Linked DNA regions of Anolis sagrei. The protein of the gene in region 1 interacts with the protein of each later gene in a biochemical or structural test. Links are inferred from orthologs where the notes say so. Each region holds a gene or a part of one and is shown in the gene's direction. Other genes may lie near its edges. The genes, in order: NCOA6, RARA, HNF4A and RXRA.

What was found.
Region 2: the proteins of NCOA6 (region 1) and RARA form a complex in vitro, tested with the Homo sapiens proteins (3 studies listed by BioGRID). The link is inferred for Anolis sagrei from reciprocal best matches to the Homo sapiens genes NCOA6 and RARA.
Region 3: the proteins of NCOA6 (region 1) and HNF4A form a complex in vitro, tested with the Homo sapiens proteins (2 studies listed by BioGRID). The link is inferred for Anolis sagrei from reciprocal best matches to the Homo sapiens genes NCOA6 and HNF4A.
Region 4: the proteins of NCOA6 (region 1) and RXRA form a complex in vitro, tested with the Homo sapiens proteins (5 studies listed by BioGRID). The link is inferred for Anolis sagrei from reciprocal best matches to the Homo sapiens genes NCOA6 and RXRA.

The regions. Positions count from the first base shown.
Region 1 is NC_090024.1:210,932,116-210,940,172, reverse strand, and holds the start of NCOA6 (nuclear receptor coactivator 6), read left to right. Parts: upstream 1-4,572; 5' UTR 4,573-4,794; intron 4,795-8,057. UniProt on the Homo sapiens protein: Nuclear receptor coactivator that directly binds nuclear receptors and stimulates the transcriptional activities in a hormone-dependent fashion. Coactivates expression in an agonist- and AF2-dependent manner.
Region 2 is NC_090026.1:39,867,472-39,875,207, reverse strand, and holds the start of RARA (retinoic acid receptor alpha), read left to right. Parts: upstream 1-4,329; 5' UTR 4,330-4,469; coding exon 4,470-4,818; intron 4,819-4,824; exon of another isoform or gene 4,825-6,013; coding exon of another isoform or gene 6,014-6,182; intron 6,183-7,736. UniProt on the Homo sapiens protein: Receptor for retinoic acid. Retinoic acid receptors bind as heterodimers to their target response elements in response to their ligands, all-trans or 9-cis retinoic acid, and regulate gene expression in various biological processes.
Region 3 is NC_090024.1:218,454,184-218,462,166, reverse strand, and holds the start of HNF4A (hepatocyte nuclear factor 4-alpha), read left to right. Parts: upstream 1-4,465; 5' UTR 4,466-4,631; coding exon 4,632-4,752; intron 4,753-7,983. UniProt on the Homo sapiens protein: Transcriptional regulator which controls the expression of hepatic genes during the transition of endodermal cells to hepatic progenitor cells, facilitating the recruitment of RNA pol II to the promoters of target genes. Activates the transcription of CYP2C38.
Region 4 is NC_090031.1:5,342,882-5,350,811, reverse strand, and holds the start of RXRA (retinoic acid receptor RXR-alpha), read left to right. Parts: upstream 1-4,448; 5' UTR 4,449-4,848; coding exon 4,849-4,876; intron 4,877-7,930. UniProt on the Homo sapiens protein: Receptor for retinoic acid that acts as a transcription factor.

The DNA.
Region 1 (8,057 bases):
TGATTGGAGATGTTGCTATTTGCTGGAGCCATGACTGTGCTGACAAAGCCATAGAAACTACAGCTCTATATATATCTTTAGTTGAACATGCATAGCTTATGCAAGTGCAAGGTCTCCCTCCTTGTATTCCAAAGACAAAAAGGCAATTAATTCTACACTATCTAAATCAAAGAATTAGAAATACCTGTCTTCAGTTCCATTACCTTCAGTTCCAGTACCATGGCTCTTTGGATTGCAACTCCCATATCTCTGTCCAGAACTGGTTGGCTCTTCTGTGAGTTGAAGTCAGAACCTCAGAAGGTCAAATGTGTCTAAAGTGTTGTCTTATAGAACAAGAGGTGTCAGTGTATTAATGTATTGCAGATGCCATCATTGATCTTGTTTTACATCCAAATTTTAAGTCAGTCAATGACCTCAATGTAGTTTACAATCATTCATTGTTTAAGGGCTCATTCACTTGTTATATTGTAAATAGCTAATGGCCTACACAAGATTTTGAATGTTTGTACAGCACCACTAACATCAAACAAACTACATGTTAGGCATGTGCTGACTGTATGTATATAGAAAATCTAATTCCCAGAGTCAGTTCCTTCCATCACACTCAACACAGCATAATCATGAAAGATGGAATGGCGCTTTTTAGATGAAGTAGTAAAGGAAGGGTCAGGCTGCACATCTATTTTAAGGGCACCAGCTAAACATTAATTTCTTTTTATTCTGAAGCAAGCATAAGGCGTGCTTTACCTGTGCACGGTGAGGTCCCTTCACTATCCTACTGGATCCTCTCTCCCACTAACTCACGTCATTATTTGGCGGTTTTAACAACTACTCCATTGGAGTCTGAGGAAGTCCTTTCCTCATTTTTAGCCCTCATGCGTGTGGGTAGTGTTAATTTAGCAAAAAAAAAAAGTGTGGGAGGGAAAGCTGCTTGCATACAGACATCCTAGTATGCTTACTTTAGGTTTTGGGGGCGGGGGGAGGGGAAGTAAATTTGGTTGCGTGTTGTACCTTTATAGCATGAAGTTTAACATTTAGTTCTCCATTGTGCTGTAAACTGGAGTGTGTCCCTTTTGTCCCAAATAGCTATGTTTCAACTTCATGTCTTTAAGTTTATTTCATTCTGTGTTATATTTTAACAGCTAAATATATGGCTTCTTAAAAAACGGAGGAAGGGAGGTAGGGAAGGAGTGAGGAAGGAAGGAAGGAAGGAAGGAAGGAAGGAAGGAAGGAAGGAAGGAAGGAAGGAAGGAAAAAGAAAAGAAAGGACAAGACAAGATGGAGCTGAAAGTATACTAAAAAGTTGATGCACCAATTCTTGGAGAAAGAAGTTATTTAATGTATTTAACAAATTCGGATGCAATTGTATTTTCCCTTCAAAACCAAAAACATAGTCTATATGATTTTGGTTATACAACATAGCACTAATTACTGTATTTTCTGATGTGTAAGACTACTTTTTAAACCAGGAAAATCTTCTCAAAAGTCAGGTGTCATCTTATATGCCAGGTGTCTTCTTATAGGGTGGGTGCTGGAACTTCCGAGCCAGACTGGAGAATCTGTGGTTGCCACATATGGTGAGGGAAGCTCAAAAATGGCCGTGGCCGCATCCCCGCCATATGCAAGCAGCAAGGGCAGCGCTGTGCAAGTAAGGTAGAAGAAAATCCACTCACCAGGATTTGTGGAAAGAAGTGACTTAATGCGGTTCTGATGACAAGGTGAGGGGGCGCCTCACCAGGAAGGTATAAGTGAAGGGCGGAGCAAGCTGCAGACATCCAGGACATCCGGGGTATGGAAAAAAGATATAGAGTGGTGCTGTGCCCAGAAAAACACACCTTTTTTTACCCGTCTGGCCCGCCCTTGTATCCTATTACCATACCTCCTTCTCTGGCTCTCAGATCTCGCTCCTGAGGACTGCAGGGAAGCGGCGCAGGCACACATGTGTGAGATCTGAGAGATAGAGAAGGCAGTACAGTAATAGGAAAATTACCATATTGCAATCAAATCTGATATTTTTTTTAAAAAATGCAGTGTGTTGGAAGAGGGGTAGTCTTATACAGCGTGTATATTCCAAACTCTATATTTTAACTGTAAAAGTTGGGGGTTGTCTTACATGCCCAGTCGTCTTATACACCAGAAAATATGGTAAAAGTATAATTTTTGGCACTGAATTTAATGGGACAACTCCCTAGCAAGTGTGATACAGCCTAAATCAGGAGTTTGGAAAGCCTACATGCATTCAGATTTAGACTGGTGAAAGACAGTTAGGATGGTTTTTTTCATCGTCCATTAAATGCATGCCCATGGTTGGAGTTACAAGACATAATAATGAATCTGAAATTAGCTAAACAATAGGGCATCTCATCTGTAGTTTAAAATGTCAGTCCCATAGGAACTTCTCTTCAAGTTTCCACCTTAGTCCCTCTATTAAATAGGAACTTTAGTTGACCAGCTATGGCAGGACACCAAATAATAGGCTACTCCAGTTCTTAGGCCTACAGTTTAAATGCAGATTGTTCCAGTTTGTGTGTTCCTACTGTTTCAGCAAATTGTCTTATGAAGTGTTTGGTTGAATAATGTCTGGATTGTAAAAAGCAAAATCTCAGTTAATCTAGATAATTATTATAATATCTGGAATGGACCACCACATAAACTTATTTTGCGGCTGGAAACCAATTGTTTATTTCTATCAGAAGATAAATTGCAAGAGGAGTTTTTTTTCTTTTTTTAAAAAATGTTGTAAACATTGAAAAACAGACAATTCATAAATACAAATGTAGCTACTGTATGTCATGTTTACAGTACAGCATCACTTTATTTAAAATAAATAACATTAAATGCATTGTAATCACATCCATGAGTCTGATTGTACAGAAAATAAATGTAATGTATTCATGCATTTTCCCAATAACACCAATAACAAAAAGGCTGAAATAAAAACAGTTTTCTTTTTATAGTACGTATTCACAAAATGTCTCTTGAATAGTTTTATGCTTTCATATTGTTATGGATGTTATCTTGAAACTAACCAACTAAACCCATGAGTATGTCACTGGGTTATCTGAGGCCCCTTTCACACAGCTGAACAAAATCCCACATTATCTGCTTAGAACTGGAATATATCACAGTGTGGACTCAGATAACCCAGTTCAAAGCAGATAACCCTGCTCAAAACAGATATTGTGGTATTTTCTGCCTTGATATTCTGGATTACAGGGCTGTGAGGAAGGGCCCTGGGTTATCTGAGGTTCCTTTCACACAACTGAACAAAATCCCACATGATCTGCTTTGAACTGGAATATATCACAGTGTGGACCCAGATAACCCAGTTCAAAGCAGATATTGTGGGATTTTCTGCCTTGATATTCTGGATTATAGGGCTATGAGGAAGGGCCCTGGGTTATCTGAGGCTACTTTCACACAACTGAACAAAATCCCACATGATCATCATGATCATCATCATCATCACTTTATTTCTTAATTAGTCGCTCTCCACCAAAGTGCTCCGAGCGACTTACAATTTAAAATAGCTTATACACAATATAAAACATTAAATATAAAACATTCAACATAAAAACATTCAGCAGTGACTATGGCAAAATTTGATCCGATTACTTAAATGCACAACCAAACAGCCAAGTCTTGAGTGCCTTTGCAAAAGGTCACAACTCCGACATTGCTCTAATATATGGAGGCAATGAGTTCCACAGAATTGGAGCATAGATCGAAAAAGCTCTACGCCTTGTAGCTTGATCTGCTTTGAACTGGAATATATCACAGTGTGGACTCAGATAACCCAGTTCAAAGCAGATAACCCTGTTCAAAACAGATATTGTGGGATTTACTGCCTTGATATTCTGGATTATAGGGCTGTGAGGAAGGGCCCTGGGTTATCTGAGGCCCCTTTCACACAGTTGAAAAAAAATCCCACATTAAACAGAGGCTGGATGGCCATCTGTCGGGTGATTTGAATGCAATATTCCTGCTTCTTGGCAGGGGGTTGGACTGGATGGCCCATGAGGTCTCTTCCAACTCTGTGATTATATGATCTGCTTTGAACTGGAATATATCACAGTGTGGACTCAGATAACCCAGTTCAAAGCGGATATTGTGGGATTTCTGCCTTAATATACTGGGTTATAGGGCTGTGTGGAAGGGTCCTAAATCCATGTTGCTATATATTCCAGTTCAAAGCGGAAAACGTGAAGTTTTTATTCATCTGTGTGGAAGGGGTCGTTGGCCCTTTAATTCAAACTGAAAGGGGGGGGGGGGTGGAGTCCTAGACTGGGTTTGCTCACCCTGTGTTTTGGAGAGAAAGAGAAAAAAAGCAGAAGTTGACGGGAGGGGGTTTGCTCTGGAGGAGGAAGAGGAGGAAAAAAAATAGGGCTGGGAGCGCGAGCGCAGCAGCAGCAGTAGCAGCACGCACGCACGCGCGCGCGCTCTAACTCCTGCGAGCGGGCGCGCGCGCCTCTCTCCCCAGTCAGTAAAAAAGAGAAAAGGAAAAAGAAAGCAGGAGGAGGCGCGCGCGCAGCCAGCGAGGCGCGCGCATCCGAGCGGGGGGGTCACGTGATCCGCCACGCCCCTCCCTCCCGGAGGCGGAGCCGCGGCCGGGTTGGAGGGGGTCTGTGGCGCCCCGGAGTTTCGGACTCGGGCTGACCTCCTCCTCCTCCTCCCTCCGTTCCGCCTCTCGGCTCCTCCTGCCCCTTTTTCGCCTCGGGCGCCCAGCAGAAAACGGAGGAAGCGGAGTGGCCTTGGACCCGGCGCTGTGAGGCGCGGCGGCGGCGGCGCCCTCAGGTGAGGCGAGGGAGTCCCTCGCGTGGGGTATCTCCCCCCCTCCCTTCTCTCTCTCTCTTTCTGTATGTATTTGTGCAAATGAGGCGGGGCCTAGTAGGGAGGTGAGTTCCCTCAGTCGTGAGGCGTAATAGAGAGAGGAAGGGGTCTCTCTCTGGCCACGCAAGGCCCTCTCTCTCTCTCTCTCTCTGCTGCTGCTGCTTCTCCTCTGACAGCCATGGAGGAGGAGGAGGAGGACGGGCGGCGGCCGACGCTGAGGCCTGCTCGGGGTCGCCGGGAAGAAGGCCCAGGCCGAGCCCCAGCCCTGGAGAGACCCCCGAGGCGGGGGAAGGAGGCGGGTTTGGCTCCAGCGAGGCAGGGAGGGAGGCAAGAGGCGAGTGGGGCTGCCACTCTTGGGAACCGGTGTGCATGCAGTGTGGACGTGGATGTATGTATTAAATACACGGAGCCTGGCCTACAGCTACGCAACACCCCCTCCAAAGGAAACACAGACATACATGGATCATACGTGTATCTGTGTTAACCTACGTGTATGTTAGGTTTTTGACCTAAAGCCACACACAACACCTTCCAAAGGAAGCACAATATATGTTTATATATAGGGGGACTGGCCTAAAGCCACCCAAAGGAAGGTGTAGACACATGAATGTATATGTCTAAAGTCAGGCCTAAAGACACCCAACACCTTCCAAAGGAAACACATATATATTTATGTATATATAGGGAGAGTGACATACAGCCATCCAAAGGAAGGTGTAGATATATGAATGTATATGTGTGAAGTCAGGCCTAAAAACACCCAACACCTTCCAAAGGAAATACAAGGCACATATATGTTTGTGTTTATGTATAGGGAGTCTGGCCTAAAGCCACCCAAAGGAAGGTGTAGATATATGAATGTATATGTCTAAAGTCAGACCTAAAGACACCCAACACCTTCCAAAGGAAACACAAGACATATATGTGTTTGTGTTTATGTATAGGGAGACTGGCCTAAAACCACCCAAAGGAAGGTGTAGATGTGTGAATGTATATGTGTGAAGTCTGGTCTAAAAACACCCAACACCTTCCAAAGGAAACACAAGGCATATATATGTTTGTGTTTATATATAGGGAGACTGGCCTAAAGCCGTGTAGATGTATGAATGTATATGTGTGAAGTCTGGTCTAAAAACACCCAACACCTTCCAAAGGAAACACAAGGCATATATATGTTTGTGTTTATATATAGGGAGACTGGCCTAAAGCCGTGTAGATATATGAATGTATATGTGTGAAGTCTGGCCTAAAGACACCCAACTCCTTCCAAAGGAAACACAAGGCACATATATGTTTGTGTTTATGTATAGGGAGTCTGGCCTAAAGCCACCCAAAGGAAGGTGTAGATATATGAATGTATATGTCTAAAGTCAGACCTAAAGACACCCAACACCTTCCAAAGGAAACACAAGACATATATGTGTTTGTGTTTATGTATAGGGAGACTGGCCTAAAACCACCCAAAGGAAGGTGTAGATGTGTGAATGTATATGTGTGAAGTCTGGTCTAAAAACACCCAACACCTTCCAAAGGAAACACAAGGCATATATATGTTTGTGTTTATATATAGGGAGACTGGCCTAAAGCCGTGTAGATATATGAACGTATATGTGTGAAGTCTGGCCTAAAGACACCCAACTCCTTCTAAAGGAAACACAAGGCACATATATATTTGTGTTTATATATAGGGAAGCATATATAAATGTGTGTGTGTGTGTGTGAGAGAGAGAAGTGGCTTAAACACACCCAACATTTTCCAAAGGAAGCACAGACATATATGTGTGTGTGTTTATATGTATGTATGTATGTATGTATGTATGTCTATATGGCAGCTGGCCTAAAGGAACCCAAAACTTTCCAAAGGAAGGCAGACATATAGATGTGTTTGTGTTTATCTGTGTATCAATGTTTACATATATGTGTGTATTTTTATATATGGTGTCTGGCCCAAAGCCACTGAACACCTTCCAAAAGAAGCACAGATACGATCTATGGGCCCTTCTGCACAGCCGTATCATCCAGAATATCAAGGCAGAAAATCCAACAATATCTGCTTTGAACTGGGTTATCTGAGTCCACACTGCCATGTATTCCAGTTCAAAGCAGATTATGTGGGATTTTATTCAGCTGTGTGGAAGGAGTCTTAGTTTACACGTGTGTGTGTGTGTGTGTGTGTGTGTGTATAAAATCTGGCCTAAAGTCACCAAACACTTCCCAAAGGAAGTGCAAGCCTCAGTGTGTGTGTGTTTCTATGTGTATATATATGAATGTATGTATTTTTAAATATGGTGTCTCACTTAAAGCCACTGAACACCTTCCAAAATAAGCACTGGCATTATCTATGTTTACATATCTATGTGTATGTATTTATATATATGAAATCTTGTCTAAAGTCACCTAACACTTCCCAAAAGAAACACAAGCCTGTATGGGTGTGGGTTTTTTCTATGTGTACATATATGTATGTATATATTGTATGTATGTATGTATGTATTTTATATATGGTCTCTGGCCTAAAGCCACTGAACACCTTCCAAAGAAAGCGCAGACACTATCTATGTTTACACATCTGTGTTTATGAAACCTGGCCTAATACATGCTTTTGTAAGCTGCCCTGAGTCCCTTTTGGGAGATGGTGGTGGATATAAATAAAGTTTTTTTAAAAAAAAAAAGTTGCCCAACACTTCCTAAAGGAAGTGTAAGCCTATGTATGTGTGTGTTTCTATATGTACATACAAGGGATATCTGGAAAGTAAGGTTACAATTTTTTGAAAAAAAATATACAAAGAATGAATATATTTTAATGAAGCTTACATGGATTATACGAGCCCCTGGTGGTGCAGTGGGTTAAAACGCTGAGCTGCTGAGCTTGTTGACCGAAAGGTCGCAGGTTTGAATCTGGGAAGCGGCGTGACCTTCTGCTGCCAGCCCCAGCTTCTGCCAACCTAGCAGTTAAAAAACATAAAAATGTGAGAAGATCAATAGCTACTGCTCCGGTGGGGTGGCATAAAACATCTACCAAAATGAAGTCAACAACTCTTGTGTTGCATAAGCGGTGTGTGGACATGCATTGTCATGAAAGAGACATATTCCCGCCATCAGAATCCCACAACATTTTTTTTGGATGGCTCTGTGAGGTTTCTTCGTGGTCTCACAATATCTTGCAGCATTGATTGTTTCATCTCTTTCCAAAACATCAATGAGCAGAACCCCTTTTCTGTCCCGAA
Region 2 (7,736 bases), on another chromosome or scaffold:
AGGAGTTGAATGTGAAAGTATTGTCCAGAGCACATGGCTTTGCATAAATCATCTGCATCTATGTTGCATTTGATGTTGCACTTGACTATCCTTGATTCTTATTAGTCCCACTTTGTGTGGTCTGAATTATGTAGCTGAAATGGGAAAGGCATCGCAACCTTGTGTATAGTGAGGGAAGGAAGCATGTATTTTGTGACATTTGGGGTATTTTCAAATAGGCGAATAAGCCCATAGAAGCCCAAGAGTAAAGTAAAGAGAAGAATGAAATGGCATGCAGAGTAAAGGCATTTAATTCATTTATAATTCCATAAGCCCTTCCCCTTCTGTCCAAACATCTCTTGTTTCTAGGGTTCAGTCATGATCCTGGAATGCAAAGCTAACATGCTTTCTTTTGCTGTTGTTGTAAGAATTATCTGTGAAGACTATATCACTGACGTGTTCTGTTTGCAGAACGTTCCTGCAGAATCTGTGCCAATTGTTACACAGCGGTGGGGCACTCTCCACCATGAATTCAAAAGCGGCCCTATTTATAAAGGGTTTAAATAAAACACATGATTTTAATTTCTTACTTTGTCTAATTTCTTTTGGTTTGGCTAGTCATGAGAGAGGAGCAAAAGGATGCATGAAACACATCTCCTGTCTCTTCGTGTTTCACACAGGCCCCGTTCTGCCTTTACCAACCATTCCACGTACTTTCACAATTTGTTTTACCAAGTTTGTGGAGTAAATATAATTGTTTTCTTTCATTTATGCTTCTAAAAATGGGACGGGTGTGACATCAGAGAACCTTGGGATACTGACTACAGTATTAAATTCGATCCTTGTACAAAATAGTTTTTTTTAATCGTGTCAGAAGCAACTTGAGAATATACTGCAAGTCACTTCTGGTGTGAGAGAATTGGCCTTCTGCAAGGATGTTGCCCAAGGGACACCTAGATGTGTTACCATCCTGTGGGAGGCTTCTCTCATGTCCAAGCGTGGGAAGCTGGGGCTGACAGACAGGAGCTCACCCCGTCTCGTGGATTCAAACTGCCAACCTTAGCAAAATAGACATAGTTCAGTTCTCACTCATTGTTGTCACACAATATTTTTGGTCCATGTTCCTGATAGAAGAGGCCTATAGCTTTCAGGATCCATTCTGTGCCTGCAGAAGAGCCAGTGTTCAGTCCTTGGCATCTCCAGATAGGACTTCATGTGACCCTTTCTGTAACCCTGAAATGCCATTGTCTATTAAGGAAAGCATGAGTGATCTAGATAGACAAATGGACCAACCTGCTACAGTCAGCTGTCCACATTCACTGGCAGTAAGGGCACAGGATCCCATGAAAAAAACCCGTGAATAAAAAAATACTATTTTTAAAACTGAGAGAACACCTCTCTAGGAATTTCAAGGTTCTCCAGCATAACTCTGTGGTCAATTTCTGTTGGAAGCTGACCATAGAATCATTCCCTGGAGGATCTCGGGATTCCTAGAGAGAACATTTGAATCATATCTACAAAAGTCAAACTCGCAAATGTGGAGTCTAGATTAACTGAAAAGGCATTGAGTCAGTTGCTTCTGCATTTCTTCTTTTGCTTGATGGCGTACCTATGCTTTGATCCAGTTTTGATGTTGAGAAGATTTCATGGATCAAAAAACGTGTGTTTCCTGTCTAATTTCTCCAGCCCTTAGTGCAGGGCTTTCCAAACTGAGTCACGATATGTAGGTGTGTCTTTATCATATTGGGATATAATCCATTTATATCAATAAAAAAATAAAGATTTTTCCTTCATATTAAGTCTAGTTGTGTCCAACTCTGCGGGGGGTGGTGGTGGTGGTGGGGTGCTCATCTCAATTTCTAAGCTGAAGAGCTTAGAAATGTCTGTAGATGCCTCCAAGGCTATGTGGCTGGCATAACTGCATGGAGCGCCATTACCTTCCCACTGAAGCGCTACCTATTGATCTACTCACATTTGCATGCTTCTAAACTGGTAGGTTGGCAGAAACTGGGGCTAACAGCGAGTGCTCATCCTGCTCTCCAGATTTGAGCCGCCGACCTTTCAGTCAGCAAGTTCAGCAGCTTAGAGTTTTAACCCACTATGCCACCGGATGCATCCTGTATTGAGCCCCTACGTCCCATCCTGTAACCTAAGATCATCCGGGGAGGCCCTGCTCTCGCTTCCGTCTACTTCGCAAATGCATTTGGCAGGAATGAGAGACAGGGCCTTCTCGGCGGTGGCTCCCCGCCTATGGAACGTATTCCCAAAACGATAGAAGATCGACTCCATCCCTCCTGGCTTTCAGGAAAAAATTAAAATCATGGTTTTGTGGACAGGTTTTTGGGCAGCAGACATAATGAGCACTTTAGTTGGACATTGACTGGAATTGATACTATCATATTGCTCTACTGTTTTAATTAATGTTGTATGTACTGGTTTTAATGATTGCGTATGTATTTAATTTTGGTTATATTATTGTAATTGTTATATAGCGACATTGTATCATTACTAAATGTAAGCCGTCCTGAGTCCTCCTTCGGGATTAGAGAAGAGACGGGGTAGAAATACCAGAAATAACTAAATAAATAATCTTTATTTATACCCCACAGTCTCTCCCCGGAGGGACTTGGTGTGGCTTACTCGGCGTTAGTGAGCTTGTAGATACATTGACTCATCTTGTATCCAAATCCCCATCCTTAGACAGAGGTGTGTGTCTTACTAAATGTAAGCCGTCCTGAGTCCCCCCTTTGGGGTTGGAGAAGAGACGGGGTAGAAATACCAGAAATAAATAAATTTATACCCCACCGTCTCTCCCCGGAGGGACTCGGTGCGGCTTACTCGGCCTTAGTAAAACCTCGACCTTAGTGATCTTGTAGGTACATTGACTCATCTTGGATCCAAATCCCCATCCTTAGACAGAGGTGTGTGTCTTACTAAATGTAAGCCGTCCTGAGTCCTCCCTTTGGGGTTAGAGAAGAGACGGGGAAGAAATACCAGAAATAAATAAATTTATTTATACCTCACCGTCTCTCCCCAGAGGGACTCGGTGCGGCTTACTTGGCCTTAGTAAAACCTCAGCCATAGTGAGTTTGTAGATACATTGACTCATCTTGGATCCAAATCCCCATCCTTAGACAGAGATGTGTGTCTTACTAAATGTAAGCCGTCCTGAGTCCCCCCTTCGGGGTTAGAGAAGAGATGGGGTAGAAATACCATAAATAAATAAATTTGTTGTTCATTCGTTCAGTCGTCTCCGACTCTTCGTGACCTCATGGACCAGTCCATGCCAGAGCTCCCTGTCGGCCGTCACCACCCCCAGCTCCTTCAAGGTCAGTCCAGTCACTTCAAGGATGCCATCCATCCATCTTGCCCTTGGTCGGCCCCTCTTCCATTTGCGTTCCACTTTCCCCAGCATACTTGGATCCAAATCCCCATTCTTAGACAGAGGTGTGTGTCTTACTAAATGTAAACCGTCCTGAGTCCCCCCCTTCGGGGTTAGAGAAGAGACTGGGTAGAAATACCAGAAATAAATAAATTTATTTATACCCCACCGTCTCTCCCCGGAGGGACGCGGTGCGGCTTACTCGGCCTTAGTAAAACCTCGGCCTTAGTGAGCTTGTAGGTACATCGACTCATCTTGGATCCAAATCCCCATCCTTAGACGGAGGTGTATGTCTTACTAAATGTAAGCCATCCTGAGTCCCCCCTTCGGGGTTAGAGAAGAGACGGGGTAGAAATACCAGAAATAAATAAATTTATTTATACCCCACCGTCTCTCCCCAGAGGGTCTCGGTGCGGCTTACTCGGCCTTAGTAAAACCTCGGCCTTAGTGAGCTTGTAGGTACATTGACTCATCTTGGATCAAAATCCTCATCCTTAGACAGAGGTATGTGTCTTACTAAATGTATACCGTCCTGAGTCCTCCCTTCGTGGTTAGAGAAGAGACGAGGGTAGAAATACCAGAAATAAATAATCTTTATAACCCACCGTCTCTCCCCGGAGGGACTCGGTGCGGCTTACTCGGCCTTAGTGAGTTTGTAGGTACATTGACTCATCTTGGATCCAAATCCCCATCCTTAGACAGAGGTGTGTGTCTACGTGTGTACAGATGTCAGTTGCCCGGCTACATCCCACTTTTTTTTGTTATAAACATATCTAAGCAGGTTTTGTCTCCCTCTTTCCTTACTGGCCTCTGCACCATGGTCCCTATAACCAGGTATCTCCCTTGGCTGGTGGGTCTGGATTCGACCGTGTGGTGATGTTTGGCCGAAGCAGCAGCAGCGGCATGCCGGTGGCAGCCCTTGGCAGGCAAAGAGGAGGAGGAGGAGGGCGCCCCTGTGATGTCACAGGGAAGGAGAAGGCCTGTGAGTGGGTCATTTGGAGGTGAAGCTTTTTTGCAAGGAGAGTTCAGGCGGAGTTCAGCTGCATAACATTACGCAAATGAGGGGCGGCTAGAGGAGCAGCAGAGACCTCCCTTTCTGAGAGGGGTGATGCAGGCGAAGAAAGGGGCCGCCCGGGCCGGTTCCTTGCCATACAAAAAAGAGGGGGCCCTCCTGCTTGTCCTCCTCGCCGAGGAAGCCGCCACTGCTGCTCCGCTCCAGCGATGGGGAAAGCACCCGAGGAAGATGCAGGCGCTGCAGCTTTGTAGCTGGAGACAGCTGTTGGAGAGGCATTTTTTTCCATGGCTGTCATTTTTCCCCCCCTTCCTCCGTCCCTCCTCCCCTTTTCTTTCTTTCATTCATTCATTCCTCTCTCTTTCTCTCCTCCTCCTCTTCCTCCTCCCCCATCCTGTGCTTCCCTGCAGTTGGTTGGGGCTGCGCAAGACACAGCACGTGGCAGGTAAGGAAAGAGTTAAGCCAGTCCAGAGCCGACTTTTCGTGTCAGGAAAGATTTTGTGCTGCCTTTAATCTATCAGTCCTGTACATCACACACACACACAGAGGCGTGCACGCACCCACACATTCTCTCTTTCCCTCTCTTTCCCAGGGAGAGAAGGAAGGAAGGACCAAAAGAAATCTGCAACCAAGGAGATTCAGGGGGGGTTCCAGGCCTTGGCATCTTCTCAAGCATTCAAAACCTGACAACACATTTGTACCATTCATCTCTTCTCTTTCTCTCCTCCCCTCCCCTCCGCCTTTCCCTCCCTCTCTTTCTCTGGCAGGGGACAGAGATGCAATTTTAAGATATGTGTGTACATAACCCATGAGCACAGTTTTCGGTGCATTACATTCAGTCATCTGCTGGACAGGAAAAAGCTCTTTTATTTCTACCAGGAAGCCTTACTTCTTCTTTTTTTTTTGTATGAGTGTGTGTGAAACTTTTTCTCCCCCCTTTTTTTAAAACTGAAGCGAAAGGATATTCCTTCCCCTCCCTTTCCTTTCTTTCCTCTTGTTAGTTTGGGAGAAGGAGAGAGAACCATGGGACTGAACAGGAGGCGGAAATGTGACCAAAATGCTATCTAACACCAGTGAGTCTCCTTCTGGTTTTTGGGAAGGCGGAGTGGATTTTGTTATTATTATTTTTTTCTCAAAGTAAAACATTCCTCTTCTTTTTCTTTTCTTTTCTTTTTTTGGGATTTATAAATACATTTTGTCTCGAAACGGGAAACAGCATCTCAGCTTGGATTGGCCGGCCTATTTCCCAAGGGACGCGTCTGGAATAGAAGATTGAAGACTTGAATATTATCTTTTGGGTTTTGTTTTTGTTTTGTTTTTTTGTGTGTTTTAACTCGAAGCAAAGACACTGGTGGCCAACCCGGCCTGTTTGGCGGATTCCCCAGCCGCGTTTGGATTCCCTAAATACTTCCCCGCTAGGGATCAAGAGGCGGCGGAGAGGGGGAGAAGGATCAGGAAACAGAAAACAACCGACAAAAAGCCTCCCCCTTGTCTCTTTGGGATTCGTCGTCGTCGCCAGTATAGGATTCTGCTCTCCGATCCTTCAGAAACCAAACTTTTGCTTTGATTCCCTCCTTCCCATCCCCCTCCACCCTCCACAAGCCCCCAACCTTCTTATCCTCTTGTTCTGCCTGGAGAAGATGTACGAAAGTGTGGATGTAGCTGGTTTAAGCAACAGTCCTAACCCCTTCTTCATGATGGATTTTTACAACCAGAACCGTGCCTGCTTGATCCAGGACAAAGGACCCGGAAACCCTAACCCTTACAGCACCCCTGTCCGTAACCAGCATTGGAACAGTTCCAATCACTGTACGTATAATGCGATCCCCCTCCTGGGCCCGGCCCAGCTGGGGTGACACCCTCGTTGCCCTCTCTCCCCTCTTGCCAGCTTTTGAGGTGACCTTATTAAGAAAGATTAGGAGCTGCCCTGTAATTGAGTGGGGTGGAGGTTGGCAGGATGGGATCTGTCATCTTTGGTTTAGGGAGACCCAAAGCCTACCCTGTTGTGATTTGCATTGGAGGGTTGGGATCGAGAGCTGGGGCTATAAAATGGTGCTTTTGTATTGTGGTTGTATGCGTATTGGGGTGCGCGCTGCATGTTGGGTCCTTTTCTTATTTTTGCTTTGGAGAGAACCATGCCCTGTTGAGACACATGGCTTTCCTTTCCCCTTCCTCCCAAATGCTTTCAGATTCTCTATGAGAATTTTTACCTTTGGATTCCCTTTTAATCTGTTAGTATTAAGGAATATTTCCAATTCTGTTGGTTGTGTTTCGAGTGGTCGGTGAAGGGAATGGTGCCAAATAGCAAAATCCACAAACAAGAGTGACTTATATTTTTATATGTAGGTGAAAGGACTTTTTCCACAATGCTTTGGTGTCCAGCTCAAGTTTATGTGGGTGGATACTCCCTCCTTATTTATCAGCAATTCTCCCTTGCCATTGGCCCATATTGAAAATACTCTCAGCTGGGTCTGTAACAGTGCAAACTTCTAATATTGTCTCTGCTCAGTGCAAGTATGCCATTGCTTTCTCTTATATGTTGTCCCTTCCCCCAACTCCCCAGTGGTGGACAAACAGTCCCACGGTCTGTTTAGTTTGATCTAGGTAACAATTAGAGGACTTGCATTGGAGGGAGGAGTTGTTTATGTTTCCATAGATTGATTTTTGTATGAATTTGATCCAAATCTGGGGAAGGAAACACAGAGGAGAGGAGTTGCACCAAGTAAACTCCCCTCCTTTCCAGCTGGGTGTTCAGTTCCCAGCCTCTGATAAGATCTCCGGCAAAATCCAATTAACTAAATAGTACACCAAGCCTTTAATCTTTCTATATATACATATGCGAACAGCCTCTCTGTGGGTGAGTGGGTGGGTGGGTGAGCTAGCAGAGAATGGGATGGTAGTGGTGGGGAAACAGGCCATATTTGGGGTGAGGGTCCTTTCTGAACTTTGTGTGCGTAACATGCTGTAATGTACAACATGGATCATTTAAAAAAGAAAATGTTTCAGTTTCCCATACCTATGTAGGTCATTAAACCAACCCTTCTCTCTATGCAAAATTTTGCAATTCCCTCTGCCCCCCCCCCCCCAAATATCTCTTTCTTGTCCAACTAAACCTTATTGTTCTTCCTAAAGCCCTCCCTAATTGCTATCCCAGGCCCTTCCTGGAGCGTGTGGGTTGTTAATCAGCCTGTGATTTGGATTTGAGTTATATGTGTTCCCTTCCCCTTTCCAATTTTTCTTCGTTTGGTTTTTTCTCTCTCCAGAGAGGGATATTTAACTCTTGGTCTTGAAACTAATTTATTTTGCAAAAGGCAAGGGATGGGGAGAAAATCCAGAATGGTTAAAATCGGGATTCTACTCTTA
Region 3 (7,983 bases), about 7.5 Mb from region 1:
AATCCTGGTATTTATAGTTTGTTGAGACAGAGAAGGCTGAAGACCTTGTAAACTACAGCAGGTGGCCCCATTACTGAAGTTACTGCTTCCTTCACATGCTACTTTTGCTTCTGTGTGGCATTTGGAAGTTAGGGGAAACAATGTGTACCTCTTGGGAGGCTGGACTTGGAAGTTTAATTCTGTGGCTGATATATAGTGAAACATTTCATACAAACTAGAGCAAAGGCTAGAATTCATCATCTACAGACTTAGATCATAAAGGCTGTAAACCATGAAATAGTCATGTTTTCTTTATAAAAGTAACAGGTCATAATAATTAATTATTACTGGTTTCTCAGCAGCAGTCCACCTGACACTCCTAAATAATAAATTGATATATGGTTAATAAATTGATAATTGATATATTAATCTTTATTTTTTTACACAACAGCATTTACAGGGGGTCATAAAACCTCACTTTAGCCCAAATCACTGTGTCTATATTGCATTACAGAACTAGAAATGAAAGGAGACTCTGAGAAATAGCATTACAGGACTTGTGTGTAGTTACATTTCGGGGATTTATACCAAATATCAATCAGCTCCTGTTTTCCAGCTAACCTCAGTGGGATTTGAAAAAGTTCTGTAAACTAAATCAGTTTGAGAAGTACAGCATAGCAGAAATCATATACAAAATGATACCTACCAACATGTAATGGAATGGAAGCTGGTTCTGTTTTATGTTAAATGCAATAATAACAATGGTGATGGACCCTGGAGGCACAGCAGGTTAAACCTCTGAGCTGCTGAACTTGCTGACTGAAAGTTCTGTGGTTCAAATCCAGAGAACGGGGTGAGCTCCTGCTGTTGGCCCAGCTTCTGCCAACCTAGCAATTTGAAAACATGCAAATGTGAGTAGATCAATAGGTACCGCTTCTGCAGGAAGATAATGGTGCAGCATGCAGTCATGCGGCCACATGACATTGGAGGTGTCTACGGACAATACCAGCTCTCTGGCTTTGAAATGGAGATGAGCACCACCACCCAGAGTTGAATACTAGACTTAATGTTAGGGGAATCCTTTACCTTTACTTAATGATGGTGATGATGATACACTTTATTTATATTTCGCCTTTCTCTCCTAGTGGACTCAAAGCAGATTACAGCATTTATATACATAGGCAAACATTCAATGCATTTACAGTCATATACAGTGAAGACACACAAACACAAACGCAAAGGCTTCTCCTTTCATTTCCGGCTTCCAGAGGCGGTGCTCATCTATGGCTCTAGGGAGGTGTTTTTCTCCATTTTCAAGCCGACCTTGTCACACAACCTCCTGGTTGCGTGGCCAGCAAGATTGCTTGAAACGTCTCTTTGCCTTTTCCCGCCAAAGCCGTACCTATTTATCTACTCACATTTGCATATTTTTGAACTGGTAGGCTGGCAGGAGCTGGAGCTGACAGACAGGAGCTCACCCCATCGCATGGATCTGAACTGCCAACATTTAGGTCAGCAGTTCAGCAACACAAGGGTTTAACCCATTGTGCCACCACGGCCCCATTAGGGGTTCATGGTATAATAGTAGTCAAGTCAAAGACCAAAGATATTCCATCTTTATCACATTTGAAGCATGGTCTTTCTTTGGAAATTGATTTTATATAGTAAGCTTATACCACAGTAGTTAATAGTATTAAATTCATGTTACCTGAAATTTATCACTTAATAGTATCAGCTGAAAAGCCAGTAATAAGAAACAGCCGTTAATGTGCCACAAAGTAATAAAATAGACATTGCAGCTATAAAGTGTGTATTGCTTTGTGGCATGAGATACAAGTGCCATATAGCCCCAAGGATTAGGTGGGGAAACTAAAATTATTGCAACAATCTAAAAGCAAAGATTTTTGGAGTAAACAAATCTTGTGAAGGCAATCAGAACTTAGAAGGCCACTCAATAAGGTCAGATAAAAGTACAGTTAATGTGAATAGATTTGGTTCTGTAGGCAAAGATCATTTAGGCTTGATTAGGGCTAAATCTACACTGGCATATAATCCAATTTCAGAATGCAGCTTAATTTCATTGAGCTAGATTATATGTCTGTGGAGACTCTCATAATCCAGTTCAATTCAGTTCAACTGTATTCTTAAACTGGATTATATGGCAGTGTAGATCCAGCCTTGGGGAAAGTGAGGCAATCAAGATAGAGCAGAAATCAGCCCCCAGCTGGAATGGCCAAAGAAGCTGAAGGTACAGAACATGTATGTATGTATGTTTGTTTGTTTGTTTGTTTTGACAATCAACACACTGAACTATAGGACAATGAAAGGCACTTCCAATAATACAAACAACATTGGACTAGGGAAAATTTGCTATCTCGGTGAATAATGCAATATGGCTCCCTTAAATATTTCTCATGTATGGTGTCAGCACATGCATCAAAGTTGAAAATGATTTTTCACACACAAAACTGATGAATACTGCAGAATGCAAAGTGGACATACATGGAAAGGCTTATTTGTACATGTACAATATTTTAGTACATCCATGTGTGAGCGTTGAGGTTTGTTGCGCCAGCTCCACTGGCTGCCAGTTTGCTTCTGGGCACAATTCAAAATGCTGGCTTTAGCCTATAAAGCCCTAAACGGTTTCGGTCCAAGTTACCTATCCGAACGTATCTCTCCTTATGAACCATCTAGGATGTTAAGATTTTCTGGGGAGGCCCTGTTCTCGGTCCCGCCTTTCTCGCAGATGCGTTTGGTGGGGACGAGAGACAGGGCCTTCTCAGCGGTGGCCCCTCAACTGTGGAATGCCCTACTTAGAGATATAAGATCGGCCCTCTCCCTCCTGACTTTTTGAAGAAAGGTGAAAACCTGGCTTTTTGAGCAGGCCTTCCCAAAATATGGCATAGTTATACGAAAGCATGGAATTACTGGATGACACAATCGAATAATGACTTGACATGGAGACGCTCATGGTAATGTTTTAAGGCTTTGTACGGTTTTTATATTTTTATATTGTATGCTAATGTTTTTAACAGTATTTTATGATTGTTTTATTTGTTATGATTGTTGAGACATCAAATTGTTGCCAATTGTGAACCGCTCCGAGTCGCCTCTGGGCTGAGAGGGGCGGTATATAACTATGGTAAATAAATAAATAATAAATAAATTCTACCATGTCATTTTCTTTAGATGCCTGAACTGTATTTTTGAATTCTCAACTGAAGACAGTAGTGCAATGCTAGAAATTTGGGGAGTGAAAAGATGTTTCAGGTGGAGAGAAACAGTCCCTTGGTACATCGCAAATAGTGTTTTAACCCTTTCTCTTACACCATTTCCGAGGTCCAGCGTGTGTCTTGAGGAATCTGTAATGCTGACACTATGGACATGAGACAAAATATGATGGCATGGAAGAACAAAAATACCAAGGCTTTTTGCATTTAAGCAGAGATCATTTCAATTGGGAAAGTGGTTTATAGAGCAGGCTAGTGACCTTCAGCAGTGGAGCTGTTCAGCAGTGGAATTCTCTGCCTCGGAGTGTGGTGGAAGCTTCTTCCTTGGAAGCTTTTAAACAGAGGCTGGATGGGCATCTGTTGGGGGTGCTTTCATTGTACTTTTACTGCATGGCAAGGGGTTGGACTAGATGGCCCATGTGGTCTCTTCCAACTCTATGATTCTAATTCTATGGTTCTTCTCAAGCACTACTGTCCTGAGCCACTTTGGGTCTCTCACTCTTACAAGCTTAAAAAAAGATAGAGTAACTTGGGTTTAAATATCTTGCCTCATGTATTATTTGGCCCATATCCCCACAGCAGAGTAGAATAACATGGAAGAGGATGTGTGGCCCACGCAAGGTGTAAGTACAGCAAGGTATCCACCAAATGTACAATTAACCTGTTTTGCATTTGCGTGCCTCACCCTCAAAGATCTGTTTTAGGTAAATGCTGCAGAGTGAGTTGTTTATAGTGAAGTCAGTGCCTGTAAAATCATGGGTTTATGGGGAAGTAAAATGAAAGTCTCACATTGTTCCCATGTATGACAGTGTGTAAATTACAATGCTACTGACCTTCACTAAACAGAGAGACAACAGGGTGTGGGAGAAGAAAGAGAGTGAAAAAGAAATAGATGGAGTAAGAGCAGTGAAATGGCAACAAGGGTAGAAATGTGGTGTTGGGTTTTTCTATATTGCAGATCAATTTGTCTGAGTCGCTCCAGCTTTACCTAGAAATAGTTCTGTCCCAACAACTGTGCATTAGGTACAGCATGTCCTGGGAAGGTTTTGTCCAGATTGTTTGCCCCATTGCACACTTTTTGCACCTGTCCCAGAGCTGAAATCGGCAATGCGCTGCTGACTAGCCCAAAAATAAACAGTCAACAACATGGAAGTGAAGGGGGAGAAAGACAGGAAGAGGGAAAGAAGGACGCAGCAAAGCAGTATGCACTAGTGGGTGAGACGATTAAAGATTAACCCCCCTTGCCTCCTGCCTCCACCCCTCTGGGTAGAATAGGCCTTGAAGCTCAGCGGATCCTTGCAGAGAATTATTTGAAATAAAGGCCAACAGATAGGGAACGCCGGCAAAATCAGTTGGGAGAAGTGGAGGGGCCAATAACCTCTGGCCGCAGATTCACTGCAATCTCGGCAGTGTTTGCTGATGATAATGCGCCTCTCCAAAGCCCTGATAGACATGGAGATGGCAGATTATAGCGCAGCTTTAGACCCAGCATACACAACTCTAGAGTTTGAGAACATGCAAGTCCTGGCCATCGGCAATGGTAAGTCAACTCAGGGCTTTGCCCATCTCTATGAAAATTTGGGTTTTGATGTGGTGAGGTAGTCAGAATTTAGAGAGCCATCAACATACAAGGAGCAATGGCAGCAACTGAATGGGTGGGGAGACTTGTCTTGATTTGTTTCCTTCATTCCTTGACCCAAAGACACTTTTTCCTAGTGGTGGATGTTCTTCTTGACTACTCTAGAGTCTATTGCCTCTTTATATGGCAAGTTTTTGTTTGACCAGCGTTTCACTATGCAGTGACTGGATGACCGTCAAGGGATGGGTGCGGTATAGAAAGCTCAAGGATATTACAGTTTTTTCTTCCATGCTACATACTTGGCTGAGGAAGGCAGAGAAGGTAGCATGAATGGTGAGCTTATGTGGGAAATGAATGCTGTTTAGAAATGGGTGATTGTATCCATTGAGAGGGTTTGGGAAGAAGATGGTGACTATAGTGATTGTGAGGATAGATTATCGTATTTATATCCTGTCTTTGAGCCAGCGTGGTTTAGTGACTTGAGCACTAGACTGTGGAAAACAAAATGCAAGTCTCCACTTGAAAACTCACTGGGTGATTTGGGGCAAGCCACACACTCTTAGCTTCAAAAACCCCATTATAGATTTGCTTTAGGGTCACCAAAAGTCAGAAATGACTTGAACGCACACAACAACAACAAATTTGTTCCCAAGACTGCCATTCAGGTGGGTTGAGAAATATTCCACTGTAGCTTTCTCATTGTACAGGAGCTAACTATGTACTTCCTCTGTATCTATAATTATGTATTTCCCCTGTATCAAAGACATGTTTTTGCTACATTGCCTCCTGGAAGGCTGCAGTGAGAGTAGCGGTTGCTTCAGGATCAAAGAAGGGAAAGACGTGTGATTACAATCTTATGCCTGTTGTCCTGGGAATAAGATCCCCTGAGTACAGTGGGACTTAATTCCAAGTTAAACATCTATAAGATTAGGCTGTGTATTACAAGATGTGCCACTGTATAGTGATTTCACACAATGCCATCTTATGTTTATACGTCTGTCACATTTGGAGAGTGCTGAGAGCATTGTATGTGTCATGTCTGTAAAAGTTACCAAACTTTGTATTTTTGCTCCTCTATACTAGTAATGCCATAAAAGAAAAAACTATTTTGAGAATTTGTATACAGTTAGCCCTCTAGATCCACAGATTCTTCATCTGTGGATTAAACTATCCACAGCCTGAAAATACATATTTCTTTAATCCAACAGCAAACTTTGATTTTGCTGTTTTATATAATCGACAGCATTTTACTGTGCCATTGTGGAGCCCTCAGTGGTGCAATGGGTTAAACCCTTGTGCCGGCAGGACTGAAGACCAACAGGTCGGAGGTTTGAATCCAGGGAGAGCGCAGATGAGCTCCCTCTGTCAGCTCCAGATCCCCATGCGGGGACATGAGAGAAGCCTCCCACAAGGATGGTAAAACATCAAAACATCCGGGCATCCTCTGGACAACATCCTTGCAGACAGCCAATTCTCTCACACCAGAAGTGATGTGCAGTTTCTCAAGTCACTCCTGTCACGGAAAAAAAAACCTATGCCATTGTACAGAATGTGACTTGAACATGCACAGATTTTGTTATCCATAGGGAAAGGTGGTGGTAGTCCTGGAGTCAAACCCCAGCAGATGCCAACAGGCACCTGTATACTGTACCAGTTATTATTTGCACCTATATTATTTTTAATTATTAATTCTAAATAGTGATAAGTGCATATTTGTGTTAGTGTGCTACTTGGTTTCTTATGGTGGTAAGGCTGAGGAATCACACAGGAAACATTGTTCAATCATGCTTTTAACAGCCCTATACTGTAGATCCAGATTATTATTCTTGTGTTATGGAGTTGATAGGGTAGATAGCTGGCTGTGGAGCTAAAAATATTGCCCTCTGAACTCCTGGTAACCATTTTGAGACTGTTTGCAGACTTTTCATGTTTACAGAATAAACCTTTAGATACACCCCATATAGTTTTCAATATCCTTTGCCTGTTTTGTGGATTGGCTGATGCAGTATTTTGAAGTGATCAGATTTTCAGTTGAATATTCTATCTTGCCTTGGGCTAACATGGTTCAAAATATATACGTGGAAAATTTTATGTAAAGAAAAATTTCCTAGTGATGCTTTTAGTACCAGCTTAGTAGATGTCCACAAACTTTAGATATGTCTAAAACTCACCATTGTCCCTAGCCAATTTTGGGGGGAAACTGTTTTGTAGAAGGGAGATATGGGCTAATACAATCGGGCAACTGTTTTGCCTCCCTAGATTTCTTTTGCCCTCAAGTGTTGTTGCTCTTTTCCATTGCTGAAACATTTTGAGAAATGTTTGAATTAATATGACTGAAGAATGTTTATTTAACTTCCGGTCACAAATGAGCCAGCAAATGGCTATGTGTAATTCAGAAGCATATGGTACACTGCTTAGCTCAACTTAACTCAAAAATGTATATCCCATAATCCAGATGTACACAATGTAACATCTTCCAATTGTTTCAAACATCAGTTTCATTGATTCTTAGCCAATATGGCCAAAAACAGCAATTCTAAGAATTGTCTTCCAAAATATTTGATTGGGAAAGGACGGCTACTTCACTAAATTTCTGGAAACCTTTTAGTTTTAATATTTAGGCAAACAGTAAATGTGTAATTTTAGTACTTTTTTCTTGTATCTCTTTAATAAGCACACTACCTTTTTCCTTTTGAATAATAAATGCTATTGCATAGTTTGTTTATTGAATATTACCTGATTATTGTGCTTTGCTTTATTTTGGATGATCTAAGATCACGTTTCTTGCTTTGGAATTGAATCTAGCACTTTTGCTAGAGCATCAATGTCTTTCAAAAGATCTTAGAATAGAACATAATAGAATATCTTTATTGTCACTGTACACTGTACAATGAAATTAAATGTTTTCCCCAGTACACATCACAAAAACAACACACCCATTCCTCCACACTCTTTTGACAGAACTTGTTACTAGATCTAATGAAAATGGATATCTGCCTGTTCACTATTGCCACGCTTCCTACAGTACAAGTGTAAAAATCTGTCATTGCTGTTTTATGGTCAGGCAATTCTCAGCGGCCTCTCAAAACTGCAGCTTACAGTGTTATCAGAAAGGCAGTTTCACGCTTGTCAATATGGCCTGTGATATGTTCTCGTAAATTTATTTTCCTATGCCAAATACATCACAAATTT
Region 4 (7,930 bases), on another chromosome or scaffold:
GGCCTGCACTACAGCATAGATCCACTAAATCTGGTTGCTGCAGAATTCTGGGGCTTGTAGTTTAGAGGAGGAGCCTTTCATATGCTCAGCCAGATAGGTCCTGAGCTTCACTAAACTACAAACCCAAGAGTTCGGCAGGGGGTCGGGACACCTGGGGGGGGGGGGGGTTGTGAGGGGGTTTCATAGGGGTCGCCAAAGACCATCAGAAAACACATTTCTGATGGTCTTGGGAATCCCTTTGGCATTGTCATTTGGATTTACAGTGCTCTTTGGATGTAGGTGAACTACATCTCCCCTAAATCACTGTCAATCAATCCCAAATCACTCCAGAATTTTCTGTTGGTCATGGGGGTCTCATGTGTGGGAAGTTTGGCCCAATTCTATCATTGGTGGGGTTCAGAATACTCTTTGATTATAAGTGAATGGCAAATCCCAACTACAACTCCCAAATGTCAAGGTCTATTTTGCCCAAGCTCCACCAGTGTTCACATTTGGGCATATTGAGTATCCATGCCAAGTTTGGTCCGGATCTATCATTGTTTTGAGTCCACAGTGCTCTCTGGATGTAGGTGAGCTACAACTCCAAAACTCAAGGTCAATGCCCATCAAACCCATCCAGTAGGTGAACGATAAATCCCAATAACTACAACTCCCAAATGTCAAGGTCTATTTTTCCCAAGCTCCACCAGTGTTCACATTTGGGCATATTGAGTATTTGTGCCAAGTTTCGTCTGGATCCATCATTGTTTGAGTGCACAGCGCTCTCTGAATGTAGGTGAGCTACAACTCCAAAACTCAAGGTCAATGCCCATCAAACCCATCCAGTAGGTGAACGATAAATCCCAATAACTACAACTCCCAAATGACAAGGTCTATTTTCTCCAAACTCTACCAGTGTTCACATTTGGGCATATTGAGTATTTGTGCCAAGTTTCGTCTGGATCCATCATTGTTTGAGTGCACAGCGCTCTCTGAATGTAGGTGAGCTACAACTCCAAAACTCAAGGTCAATGCCCATCAAACCCATCCAGTAGGTGAACGATAAATCCCAATAACTACAACTCCCAAATGACAAGGTCTATTTTCTCCAAACTCTACCAGTGTTCACATTTGGGCATATTGAGTATTTGTGCCAAGTTTCGTCTGGATCCATCATTGTTTGAGTGCACAGCGCTCTCTGGATGTAGGTGAGCTACAACTCCAAAACTCAAGGTCAATGCCCACCAAACCCATCCAGTAGATGAACGATAAATCCCAACAACTACAACTCCCAAATGTCAAGGTCTATTTCCCCCCCAAATTCCACCAATGTTCACATCTGGGCATATTGAGTATTTGTGACAAGTTTTGTCTGGATCCATCATTGTTTGAGTCCACAGTGCTCTCTGGATGTAGGTGAACTACAACTCCCAAACTCAAGGTCAATGTCCACCAAACCATTCCAGTATTTTCTGTTGTTCATGGGAGTTCTGTGTGCCAATTCCATCGCTAGTAGAGTTCAGAATGGTCTTTGATTATAGGTGAATTATAAATCCCAGCAACTACAACTCCCAAATGTCAAGGTCTATTTTCCCCAAACTCCAAGGTGTGAATGTGTGGGCAAGGGAGAGTGTGTGAGGATGGAGGGAGGCTCATGCCAGTGAGTCCCTTCAAGATATGGGGATTCTGTGTGGGAAGTTTGGGTTCTATCCCAATTCCATCGTTGGTGGGGTTCAGAATGCTCTTTGATTGTAGGTGAACTATAAATCCCAGCAACTTCAACTCCTAAATGTCAAGGTCTATTTTCCCAAAACTCCACCAGTGTTCACATTTGGACATATTGAGTATCCATGCCAAGTTTGGTCCGGATCTATCATTGTTTTGAGTCCACAGTGCTCTCTGGATGTAGGTGAACTACAACTCCAAAACTCAAGGTCAATGTCCACCAAACCCTTCCAGTATTTTCTGTTGGTCATGGGAGTTCTGTGTGTCAAGTTTGGTTGAATTCCATCATTGGTGGAGTTCAGAATGCTCTTTGATTGTAGGTGAACTATAAATCCCAGCAACTACAACTCCCAAATGACAAAATCATTATCACCCCTCGCCGAACCCCATCAGTATTCAAATTTGGGCATATCAGGTATTTCTGTCAAAATTGGTCCAATGAATGAAAATACATTCTGCATATCAGATATTTACATGGTTGGGGGTCACCACAACATGAGGAACTGTATTAAGGGGTCACGGCATTAGGAAGGTTGAGAACCACTGCCCTATGAGGAGCGGCTTAAAGAGGAAGCAGCCAAGCCTTGAAACTGCAGGTCCATTCAAAATCTGGCTACCAGTATTAATTAAAACACTCTAAAATCAGGACAGCAAGTAAAGAACAACACTCAAAAAGCAGGGGAACAATCAGGCTCAACTCCCAACAAAGGATTCCTGCAGGCAGCAACCAGCCAAGCCTTGAAGCTGCGAGTCCATTCAAAATCTGGCTACCAGTATTAATTAAAACACTCTAAAATCAGGACAGTAAGTAAAGAACAACACTAAAAAGCAGGGGAATTGCAGACAAGAAAATATCTGGTACATCTAATACCTCCCAACAAAGGATTCCCCCAGGCAGGAAGCAGCCAAGCCTTGAAACTGCAAGTCCATTCAAAATCCGGCTACCAGTATTAATTAAAACACTCTAAAATCAGGACAGTAAGTAAAGACACTCAAAAAGCAGGGGAATTCCAGAAAAGAAACAATCAGAATCACCTCCCAACAAAGGATTCCCGCAGGCAGCAACCAGCCAAGCCTTGAAGCTGCAAGTCCATTCAAAATCTGGCTACCAGTATTAAAACACTCTAAAATCAGGACAGTAAGTAAAGAACAACACTCAAAACATGGGAATTCCAGACAGGAATCAATCAGGGCCATATAATGCCTCCCAACAAAGGATTCCCCCAGGCTGGGAGCGGCCAAGCCTTGAAACTGCAAGTCCATTCAAAATCTGGCTACCAGTATTAAAACACTCTAAAGTCAGGACAGTAAGTAAAGAACAACACTCAAAAATCAGGTGAATTCCAGACAAAAAACAATCAGGCTCAACTCCCAACAAAGGATTCCCCCAGGCAGGAAGTGGTCAAGCCTTGAAGCTGCTAAGCTTTTCAATGCAAATCAAGGTGGTCAATTGCAGCATTTCCACTTGCTTCCAAGAGACAGAGTGGACATCATTCCCCAGATATAGAAACCCAATTTCCCTAGTTTCCAACAGACTTCACAACCTCTGAGGGTGCCTGCCATAGATGTGGGCGAAACGTCAGGAGAGAGTGCTTCTGGAATATTTCCAGACATTGTATTGCCGAAGGCTTTCATGGCCGGAATCACTGGGTTGTTGTAGGTTTTTTCCGGGCTATATGGCCATGTTCTAGAGCAGTGTTTCTCAACCTTCCTAATGCCGCGACCCCTTAATACAGTTCCTCATGCTGTGGTGACCCCCAACCCTAAAATTATTTTCGTTGCTACTTCATAACTGGCATTTTGCTACTGTTATGAATCGTCATGTAAATATCTGATAAGCAGGATGTATTTTCAATCTCTGGACATTGGGAGTTATAGTTGCTGGGATTTATAGTTCACCTACAATCAAAGAGCATTCTGATCTCCACCAGAGATAGAATTGACCTAAACTTGGCACACAGAACGCCCATGACTAGCACAAAATAATGAAAGGGTTAGATGAGCATTGGCCTTGAGTTTGGGAGTTGTAGTTCATCTATCTCCAGCAAGCACTGTGGACTCAAACAATGATAGATCTGGACTGAACTTGGCGCAAATACTCAATATGCCCAAATGTGGACACTGGTGGAGTTTGGAGATAATAGACCTTGACATTTGGGAGTTGTAGTTGCTGGGATTTATAGTTCACCTACAATCAGAGAGCATTCTGAACCTTACCAATGATAGAATTGGGCCAAACTTCCCACACAGAACTCCCATGACCAGCAGAAAATACTGTGTATCCTGATGGAGTTTGGCGACCCCTCTGACACCCCGTCGCGACTCCCCCAGGGGTCCCGACCCCCAGGTTGAGAACCACTGTTCTAGAGGCATTTTCTCCTGACGTTTCGCCTGCATCTATGGCAAGCATCCTTAGAGGTAGTGAGTTTTTTCAGACAGCCTGGAAAACTCACAGCAACCCAATGATTCCAGCCTTCGACAAGAGTTGGCAAAGGCTGGCGAGAGAGGCGACAGTTCCCAGCATTCCTCTTTTTTTTGGTGTGGGGGAGTTTTGGGATTGATAGTCCTGGCCACGACTTAGAGGGATGCCCAAGGTCTAACTTGGGTTTTGTTTGGTGTCCTTCCCTTTTGGCGAGGTTCTTTAAGTCCCCCCCAAAGCGCCTCAATGGCGTCGTCCCTCGCGTTTCCCCCTTCGTGAGTCGGGTCCCCCTTGGAGTTTCTTTTCTTTGGAGACACGCAAGCCACGCGAGCGCGCGCGCGCAGGCGCTCGTGCCCGCGCCCACCCACGAGAGCGCGAGCCCAAGTACTTTTTTCCCTGGGTATTTTTTTCCTTCTTCTTCTTCTTTCTCCCTCTTTTGAGTTCCCTTCTTCTCTGGACGAGTTTTTGGAGAGGCGCAAAAGGGGAGAAAAACAAGGAAAGTCGGCCTTCTTTTCCTTCTTTTCCTTGGACTTTTGTATTATTCCGGATTTTTGTCTTGTTATATTTTAGAGAGAGGGGGAGGGCTTGCTCTGCTCCTAAAAGGCGGACCGAGAGGAGAACCAGAGACCCTCCCCCTTTCCCAAAAAGAACACAACAACAAAACAAGAAACCTCTCCAAAATCCATCTGGCAATGAGTTAAAAAAAAAGCGGCGCAAAGAAGGAGATGGACACCAAACATTTCCTCCCTTTGGGTGAGTTTTTGGGGGGCTCTTCCTCCCCCGATTTTTCCTATATCCTTTAGGGGAAAAAGTGGGGAATCAAGGGGGGAAAAAGAGAGAGAAAAAGGGGGAGGATTGGAGGAGGAAGAGGAGCACCCCAAACAACAACAACGTCAAGGCGAGATGCGTAAAAAGCCGTGCGTAAAAGCGCACGCGTTTGGGGGGCTTGCAAAAAAGCCCCTTTTCCAAGTAAAGCTTTTGGGGAACCCTCCCCCAAAGGGTCCAGTTAGACAAAAGAGGGTCTCAGGATGGTCCCCATATAGGTTATATGCGTCTATGTCTTTCTATAATGGGGGAGTGTCCCTTCTTTCTCGCCATGCCCAATGCAGAGAGAGCAGTTGCTTTCTCCACTCTGGCTCGGCTTGTGGCAATGGAGCCAGGCAGGCCTTGGAAAGGAAGGGGAAAGGGAGCCTTTGGGGGTGTGTGGTTGCGGCTGTCGTTGTGTTCTCGGCCCTCGGTGGTTGCCTCTTGGGTTGACACGGCTTTGGGGGAGTCCCAACTGGCTGCCTCGGCTCAAAGAGTGTTTTGGGGGAGCTCGAAGTTCAGTCGGACGGGAAGCGAGGAAAAGGGTTTGCGCTTTGGAGAGAAGTGGCCCAGAGAGAGAAAGAGAGAGAGAGTGTGTGTGTGTGGACTGGGTAAACTGCACTAGGATCTGGGCCCTTCCTTCCTTCTTTCCTCCTTTCCTTCCTTCTTTCCTTCCTTCCTTCTTTTCTTCCTCCTTCCCTCTCTCCCTGCCTTCTTTCGTCCCTCCCTTTCACTTTATTTCTTTTTCTTTCTTCCCTTCTCTCACTCTCCTTCCTTCCTTCTTTCCTTCTTTTCTTACTCCCCTCCCTCCCTGCCTTCTTTCCTTCCTTCCTTCTTTCGTCCCTCCCTTTCACTTTATTTCTTTTTCTTTCTTCCCTTCTCTCACTCTCCTTCCTGCCTTCCTTCCTTCCTTTTTTCCTTCCATCTTTCTTCCTGCCTTCTTTCCTCCCTCCCTTCTTGCCTTCCTTTCTTCTTTCTTTCCTTACTTCTTTCCTTCCTTCCTTCTTTCCTTCCTTTCTTCTATCATCCCTCCCTTCTTTCTTTCCTTCCTTCTTGCCTTCATTTGTTCCTTGTTTCCTTCCTCCCTTTCACTTTATTTCTTTTTCTTTCTTCCATTCTCTCTCCTTCCTTCCTTCTTTCCTTCCTTTTTCCTTCCATCTTCCTTCCTTCCTTCCTTCTTTTCTCCCTTCCTTCTTTCTTTCTTTCCTTCCTTCCTCCTTGCCTTCATTTCTTCCTTGTTTCCTCCCTCCATTTCACTTTAATTCTTTTTCATTCTTCCCTTCTCCTTCCTTCCTTCCTTCCTTCCTTCCTTCCTTCCTTCCTTCTTTCTTTCTCCCTCCCTTATTTCATTCCTCCATTCCTTTCACTTTATTATTTTTCTTTTTTTCCTTCTCTCACCTTCCTTCTTTCCTTCCTTCCTTTCTCTCTTCTTTCCCCTTCCTCCCTTATCTCTCTTCTTCCACCCTCCTTTCACTCTTCCATTCTATTCCTCTTTCTTCTATTTCTTTCTCTCTCTCCTTCCACCACTCCTTTAACTTGTATTTTTCTATTTATTTATTTTCTTCCTTCTTCACTTCCTTCTTTCTCTCCTTCCCCTTCCTCTCTCCCCCTCCCTTTTCTATTTCTTTCTTCCCTTTTCTCTCACTGTCCTCCCTCCTTTCCTCTCTTTTTCCTCCCCTTTTCTTTCATTCTTTCATTCTTTCTTTCTCTCTCCCCTTCTCCTTCCTTCATTCCCCTCCCTTTCGGTCCCCCTTCCCCTCTCTTTTCTATTTCTTTCTTCCCTTCTCTCTCTTTCCTCTTTCTTTCTTTCTTTCTTTCTTTCTTTCTTTCTGTCTTCCCTTCTCCTTCCTTCCTTCCTTCCTTCCTTCCTTCCTCTCTCTCTTTCTCTCTCTCTCTCTCTCTCACCTTCCTTCCTCTCTTCCCCATCCCCTATTTTTTCTATTTCTTTCTTCCTCTCTCTCTTTCCTTCCTTCCATCCCCTCACTTTTTTCTATTTCTTTCTTTTCTGCTTCCTCTTTCCTCCCCTCTTTGGACCCTTCCACACCACCTTATAACCCAGAATATCAAGGCCGATGATAATCCACAATATCTGCTTTGAACTGGATTATCTGAGTCCACACTGCCATATCATCCAGCTCAATGTGGATCTTATACAGCTGTGTGAAAGGGGTCTCACGTTCTTCCTTTCTTCCCTACCCCTTCCTTCCTTCCTTCCTTCCTTCCTTCCTTCCTTCCTTCCTGGGTTTTATTTTAAGATTTACTTTTGTATGCTTTGAATTGTATAGTTTCCAAAGGTTGTGAGCTGATTTGGGTGTTGTGCCTTGAGTTAAAAGCAAGGTAATAATAGTAATAATAATAATAATAATAATAATAATAATAATAGTAATAGCAATAATATAATAATAGTAATAATATAATAATAATATAGTAATATAATAATAATAATATAGTAATATAATAATAATAATAATGGTAATAATAGCAGCAACAACAATTCCTCCCTCCTTCTACTTTCTTTTTCCCTCCTACTTTCTTCTTCTCTTCTCGTCTTCCCTCCCTCTTTCTTTCTTTCTTTCCTTCTCTCTCTCTTTCTCTTTCCCTCTCTTTCTGACTTCCTTTCCTCCAGTTTTTGGAAGTTGGCATTGGGCGGAGAGTCTCCGAAGGAGGGGAGGAGGAGACTTTTGGAAGCTCTCTGCAGGAAATCCAAAGAAAGAAGGGAACGAAGGAAAGGAGGAGTGCGAGCAGGCCTGGGAGTGTTGCGAAAGGCCACCACCGCTCCTTCTCCCTCTTTGGGTGTCCCACTAAATAAAAAAGCCTTGTTTTTAAATGTCCGAAACATGCCATTCCATGTAGGTACTTTCCCAAGTTTTGGGCCATTATAGGAATCCACCTCATAATGTATTTGGAGTCAAATACTTTTGTGGAGAGTGCTTTCTGTTTGGAGAGATTTGTGTCTGTTTCTTTTGTCCCCTTCCTTACTTTTACACCAACCCTTGAAATGAA